Linked DNA regions of Bombyx mori. The protein of the gene in region 2 purifies or fractionates together with the protein of the main gene of each other region. This does not show direct contact. Links are inferred from orthologs where the notes say so. Each region holds a gene or a part of one and is shown on either strand. Other genes may lie near its edges.

Evidence for each region.
Region 1: the proteins of protein FAM98A (region 2) and RNA transcription, translation and transport factor protein purify together in Homo sapiens (affinity purification with mass spectrometry; 4 studies listed by BioGRID and IntAct, with this or other methods). This does not show direct contact. The link is inferred for Bombyx mori from reciprocal best matches to the Homo sapiens genes FAM98A and RTRAF.

Annotation. Positions count from the first base shown.
Region 1 is NC_085119.1:4,409,198-4,412,570, forward strand, and holds RNA transcription, translation and transport factor protein, read left to right. Parts: upstream 1-1,145; 5' UTR 1,146-1,296; coding exon 1,297-1,366; intron 1,367-1,443; coding exon 1,444-1,668; intron 1,669-2,010; coding exon 2,011-2,094; intron 2,095-2,402; coding exon 2,403-2,701; 3' UTR 2,702-2,862; downstream 2,863-3,373. UniProt on the Homo sapiens protein: RNA-binding protein involved in modulation of mRNA transcription by Polymerase II. Component of the tRNA-splicing ligase complex and is required for tRNA ligation.
Region 2 is NC_085130.1:5,588,756-5,592,834, forward strand, and holds the start of protein FAM98A, read right to left. Parts: upstream 2,809-4,079; 5' UTR 2,643-2,808; coding exon 2,605-2,642; intron 1,867-2,604; coding exon 1,634-1,866; intron 823-1,633; coding exon 686-822; intron 416-685; coding exon 280-415; intron 1-279. UniProt on the Homo sapiens protein: Positively stimulates PRMT1-induced protein arginine methylation. Involved in skeletal homeostasis. Positively regulates lysosome peripheral distribution and ruffled border formation in osteoclasts.

The DNA of each region.
Region 1 (3,373 bases), on a different chromosome or scaffold from region 2:
GGAGTAAGCCTACTGGGGAAACCACGTTAAAAAAACGCGCTAAGTACACTACCTCATAGGTGTCGTGGAAACGTGTGCTATGTGAACCCTCTGACTAGCTAATTTTTGATCTATCTTTAACTGAACACCTGGGATTTGTGATTTACCTTTTAAAAAAGATGGCATATTTATACTAATTCCTTTAGGGGCAAACAGATCCTGTACATTAAAACCTCTGTCTGCGATAATACTATCTCCAGAATCACAAATCTGGAGCAGCTTACTTCGTTCTAGTATCTGTCGATCACTTGCAGAACCAGCGTAGCCGTTTAAAACATATGATAATAATCCCCCTGGTGAAGCTCCTACCAAAAATTTCACGGTATTTTTATGTTTATAACAACTAAATGACGCTATTTGAGCATCAGGTTGACTAGGCTTCTGTATGCCTATTTCAGTCCCATATATAATCACCCTTGTGGAGGGATAATGTGTTCTAAAACAATTAGGCATATAATAATTTAATAAGCTGCGGCTAGGGCAAATGTCAATTAGGCTCTAGATATCACTGACAAAATTTATCCATGTTACAACAATATTAGACACTTCAGTTTTACTTAATTCAAAATCTGTTGTGTTTCTTCTAAGCTTAATTAGTAACATTAAAAATTGATCTTCTCTTGATATGCCGACCACTCTACTCCAGCGAGTTTTTATAGTCAGATTCCACAAAGTGTTTACGACATAACCTCGAATTTTTTGTGGGAGTACTTTTTTCGTGTCAAATGGCCTTTAACCGCAGTCTTCCAATTTTCTTGTCCTTCGAGAATTGATGTACTCCAATTTCTGAGGATATTGGCACAAAACAACGCGTCATTGTGCTTAAAATAATTTTTAATCAAAAGTTCCAATACAAATATTGAATGTTATGGGAACAATGCACACCAGCGCCACTTTGACAGTAGCCAACCCCATTTATTTCGCTCATCTAAAAGAAGCAGTTGATCGGAGTGTTACACTAATTTAAGTGTGAATTATTTTTTGTTGCGTTATAATAAAAAAATAATACAATTTCAATTATCTAATGTCTTAGATCTACTCATTTTGGTACAAATCAAATGGTTTTTGTTGAAAAGATTAATTATTCGATATTTCGATCTCAGATCGCGTTCCTAATGTCAATTGTCAAATATTGGTCTCTACCATAGATTATACACTTATGTCTACTATCTATGCTATCGTCATGTCGAATTGCATTTGGTTAATTTTGTGAAATTTACTACAATTTGCTATCTAAAAACTTACAGTTTTTTAACAATGTCAAATTTATTTAAATTGAAACTAAGTGCATTAGGTCATCCAAATCCAGAGTTCTTTAACTGCGAAGGTTTTGTTTAATTTGATGACCCGTTCGTTAAAACTCGTGAGTGAAGATTGTAAATAACAAGTCTCTGCAATTTTTAGATGAGAAGGAGTACAGAAGTGTGGTGCTGTGGTTAGAAGATCAAAAAATAAGGCATTACAAAATTGAGGACCGAGAAGGGTTGAGAAATATTGATTCCGATTTCTGGAAGGAGGCATACAATACGTATCAGAAAGATTTGGTGAGTCCAGCGGCAGAAGGGACGCTGAATGAACAACTCAATTGGCTATTGTCGTATGCGGTGCGGTTGGAATACGCGGATAATGGTAAACAGAAAATTTTAATTAAATATTTCATGTCAAATTATTTCTTTACTTGCTACCGTATTTTTCTTTTTTAATACTTAGACATTTAAACAAGCTCATTGCCCAATTGATATTAAGTCGTTACGGGAGCATACAGAGATAACTTGAATGCTGCATGTTTGAGACATGAAGTCTAAGACTCCATTAAAACATAGCAATTATTCCACCCTTCAGACTAGAACACAAGGCTCTCCTCTGCGTCATAAATAGGCAGGGTGGTGGTGTTTACCCATGTGGGTTTACAAAATGCTCTATGATCAGTAATCATCAAAATTTATAAGAATGTCTAATTTTATTTTACAGTTGACAAATATAAAAATGCTAAAGTTGAAGAGAAAAAGAAAGCTCCCAATGTCGTGTCTTCTAATCCATTAGACAATCTGGACTGTAAGTACATCCATAATAAAATTTAGAAAAACATTTTAATTTCTAACTATCAAAAACTAATTTTGTAATTACAATTAAATAATTAAACTTGTTTAAATAATTGCCAACAAGAATTGAATTTGTTACTAATGGTTCTAAAATTTTATTAATATGTTAGCTTAGATTATCTTGATTCTTCTTTATTTCTAATGCTTTTAATATTCCAAACTTCAACTTCAATTCTTTAATAAAATTCCGTTGAGGCCCTGATCTCTATACTCATCACGTTTCTTTGGTGATCTTTGGTAATATTCCAAATCTATTTTCAGTCTCAAGTCAAGCATTCAAAGCAGGTGTCAACAGAGTCTGTACAGTAGCGAGCATTGGTCCTCATCCAGATCCTAAAATAAGACTTGCTGCCTTAGCCAAAGTACTGAAAACTTCTCCGCATCCGGAACCCCTACAAACTGAAGTCAATTTAGTTAATCAACCCTCAGATGTGTTAAAGTTACTGTTTGTTCAGGATCTTAGAAATTTACAAACAAAAATTAATGAAGCTTTAGTTGCTGTCCAAACTGTTACTGCTGACCCTCGAACTGATACCAAACTCGGTCGAGTAGGAAGATAAAATGTTCTTCACTAAAATTTTGTAAAATTATCTTAACATTTTCTTCACGAAATCACAATGGCGAAGAACTGAAGCTATTGTTTTTATACTATGTTATGTAAAACCATATTAAAATGATAATAATTGATCTGCTGAGTACTAAAAATAAACTGTGCATTAAATTTCGTTTTTTCATTTAGATTTTTATTTTTATTTGGGTTATACCAATTTAACTTTAGTCTTATTCACTTTTTTATTGTTAAGATGTATGTAATGTAAACCTGAGGCTTGTGGTCTAAGTCTTATTGGTGGTCGTTCTACACTTCAAACCAGAATGACCAGAATGACTTATTATTATATACTAGTTATTATGGGTAGTGTTGGTATGTTGTTGGCATGTGCAGGCTCACAAGGCTCCCCTGTACCACCCATAAAATTGGTTTAGTTTTATTTGTTGGTGTTGTAAGCAGACCAGCAAACATCTAGTAGCTGCTTAATACTACATAGATTAGTAAGTTACAGCAATAACAAGATAACTGAAAAAGTTTTAAATTGAAATATGTACTCTTTTTATCTTATGTTTCTGTAGAATGTTCAGAATGTTAATTACATAATAATTCGTAAGTTTTATAATCAAGGATGTGTAAAAATAAATTTGATAAACATCAAAATTAAATATTCTTGGTAGTGAAG
Region 2 (4,079 bases):
ATGTTATTATATAACTCATGTCATCAATCAAATGAAATAGTAAAATTTTTAAATCAATCAAAAATATAAAATCTTTTTTTTTATTGCCCTTGTAGGCAGATGACCATCCGGCCCACCTGATGATGAGTTGTCACCGTCGCCCATGGACTTCAGCAATGCCAGGGGCATAGCCAAGCCGCTGCCTACCTACTTATCTAGTAAAACTGTAAAGTATTTTATTATAAGCAATTTAATATATGCAATATGTATTCGATTACAAAAATAAATATATATTTTTACCTTCCTTTTGTATGGTATCCTTTAACTTTCCTTCCAGCTTGGAGAATAGCACTTCTGGAGTGATATTCGGTGGTGGTTTGTTGAATTTTAGAGTAATCAATATATCTTTGAGATCTTTGGCTGTTGGAGATTCACGCTGAAAATTAGTGTATGGTTGTTGAAGACTAGAATTTCAGTTTTTTTAAATAAACTGTAGCTGTTAAAGATAATATATTTTCTGCATTGAGCAAATTATATGCTCCCAAAGAGATCAAGAATAAGGACGGCCACCCAGTTTATGCAAGATTTAGACTTGAACAAAAATATTTGGCGATCATAATGACTCCAAACTTAAAGCCCTATTTTAATTACACAGCATAATCTTAATTCAAAATAAATGGTTGAAATTAAATGATTAAGTATATACCATAACAATCTCCATGCCTGAGCCCTTATCTTGTGGACGATCTACATTCACCATTCTAGCTGCCATGAGCTCGGAGATCAGGTAATCAAGCAGTAACAGACGATCGTCTTTAGATTGTAGTCGAGATGACATATGACCTGTTTGAACATAGTTTAATAGTTTATTATTATACAAATCCATTAAGGTTGTTGAACTAACAGCCCTTACTGCAAGCACAGCCAGTGGTGATTCAGACCACCTGACCACCACTGACCATCATTTATTATCCAAATTATAATTGTTGCAGGTTTCACTTTTATTACACTGTTATTTCTTCATCACGGAAATCATTCGTGAATGTGTGTTAGTTACATTAGAAAAATTGGTACCATGTTGTAGTATTTAAGAAATGGCACAATCACATTGTTCAATACCGATGTACCAGATGACTTATCCTGTAGGTCATGATAACATCAAACTAGGTATCATCATTCTGACTCTGGTTTAAATGATAATTGTAACCACACCCTAGTAGACCACAGGCTATAAAATTGCTTCTGAATACTGGTACTAACTATTAAATAACTATTTAATAAATCATTGTGACTATGTAAGTAAAAATATTTTGATTACCCTCTCTATTTTATGTATTACTAGCTGACCCAGCAGACTTCGTAGTGCCTCAATCGATAAATAAAAGAGCTAAGCTTTTGTATAAACTTAAAACAAACAAAAGGAATCCGTCCAACGGGAGACCCATCAAAGGGAAAACTAAATTGTTATTTTCATTTAATTCCAAGCATTTTAATATTTATCTACCTTTTAAACTTTCTCTGGACTTCCACAAATAATTCAAGACCAAAATTAGCCAAATTGGTCCAGCCGTTTTCGAGTTTTAGCGAGACTAATGAACAGCAATTCATTTTTATATATATAGATATTGGTGATTAATGTTTAATAATTACACACCTGTTACCAATTTCTTGTAGGGACATCCCAATTCTTTCAAAAATGAACTAAGTTCCAGCAGGAAAGAGCTTGAATCGTCTGGATCATTAATCATGTTTACAGTCTCTTCGAGGTGACAGAGATTCTTCAACTCTTCAGCCAATATATGCACAAGTTTGGTGAAGTCAAGGGACTTGGCACCTCCCTCAATAGCCTTTGCAAAGACAGCTTCTTCGGAGAGTGGGCCTTCATAGCTTAAAATTTTTTCTAATGTTTTATGACTTGTCTTACACAAAAAATTACAGATCAAATGACATACTTGGTTAATTTAATACATTAAAGGTCTGTTAATATAGACATGTATTTATAAAAAAAAAACTAAAATAAAATTGAAATCAATGCTTTTATATTAAGAGAAAGATATATTAAAGGAAGGAAATATATCATGTAGGATTAACGAAATAGACTAGTGGAAGACTGTAAATTGTACCTCTTTTAGGTAGAAAAACCATTATTCACAATACTACTACATAAAACTACTTTTATGGTTAATCTAGCGTTTTTATTGTGATTATATTGTTTCCGACATATGGAACACTTTACAGTTTTCGTGGTCATACACGACTGAACTGTGAGAGTAGGTTTAGTTATGTATAAGACGAGGGAACACCGAAAAAAAAAAAAATGGTCCGCTTTTTTTCTGATCGTGATTGCTTAAAAACGCTAGGTTATATATACTCGTAGATAGGTAATAGTATTCGTTAGGTTAAGGAATTCTATGTTGTCAACGAAGAATATCGAAATAGTCAAACCAACTGAATCTGTCAATATTAATTCTGAATTTACCATATTGCGAAATGTTTTTCGGTAACGCTAACGTGTCGTTTTAAAGTTTCTTAATTTATCCATTTTAAAGAACATTTTTAAGTGAAAATAATAGAACCGGTGATTTTAACTTGATCAAACCTACAAAAAATTATAACCGTACATACCTCAAGTCGCTAAGTGAGTCCAATATTTCGTTTTCCATTTTAGTCAATAACCTCTTACTAAAGCTCTGTACTTTTTATTAAATTACTGACTAAAACACAGTTTTACTTGGGATAAGAAATTCTGAAAAATAGATTTCAGCCGGCGTTCCAGGTCCTTTATATTTTATTCATAGATTAAACGTTTAACCATCGATAAGACAATTGAAGTCAAGACATTTCATGGATGGAGCCCTGCGTTCTATTCCTTTAAGCCACAAAACACCAAGAATACAGAAACTAAACATGAAATAATTACGCATTAGAATCAGGCACGCATAGACAGGCACGAAATCACGAACCCAAAGCTTCCAACTGTATGAGGCGCCTCGTAAATATATGAGATTTTTGTCTGCTGTAGAAGGTGAAATTAAAGTTAGAATGTAAATGTTAATTTTTTTAATTATACCACAATAAATAATATAACTAAATAACTTATTATGCCTTAAAGCAGAACAGGATTTTTGTAAATTGAAAATCGAAGTTCATAAACACGAATCCCACATAAAACAGATTCACTACAGAAAAAGCAGCAGTATTCTCAGCGCATAGTTCTGTCGCCAATCTCGTATTACTAGTGGTAGGACATATTTCGTGTCGGCTTCAGTGGGTTTTGTAATTTTTTATTTTTTTATTTTTTTTTTATTGCTTAGATATGTGGACGAGCTCACAGCCCACCTGGTGTTAAGTGGTTACTGGAGCCCATAGACATCTACAACGTAAATGCACCACACACCTTGAGATATAGTTCTAAGGTCTCAGTATAGTCACAACGACTGCCCCACCCTTCAAACCGAAACGCATTACTGCTTCACGGCAGAAATAGGCGGGGCGGTGGTACCTACCCGTGCGGACTCACAAGAGGTCCTACCACCAGTTATCATTTCCACACGCTGTAATTCCAACGGGCTAATGAACCGGCAGTTCTCGTTTTCATGTACAGGAACGTTTTTCTTTTAGAAATTTCTTCTATAGCCTGTCAATTTTTTTTTCCTAATAGTTGAAACCTTAGAAGAAAGAATTTTACTTTCAACTACTTTCGAGACGCAAATTTCAAGAATTATGTCTTTAAATTTATATTCTGCCATCCTGTAAATAAAACACATATTTTAAGAAATTTCTCAAAACGATAAAGCTCCATATTGGTGCGCTCACTCGAAATGACATGTCATAAATTAGCTGTGGAAAATTTCTGATGTTTCGGTAGTTTTTTTTTTTTTGTTGCCAGATGTGTGGACGAGCTCACAGCCCACCTGGTGTTAAGTGGTTACTGGAACCCATAGACATCAACAACGTAAATGCGCCACACACCTTGAGATATAAGTTCTAAGGTCTCAGTATAGTTACAACGGCTGCCCCACCCTTCAAACGAAACGCATTACTGCTTCACGGCAGAAATAGGCGGTACGGTGGTACCTACCCGTGCGTACTCACAAGAG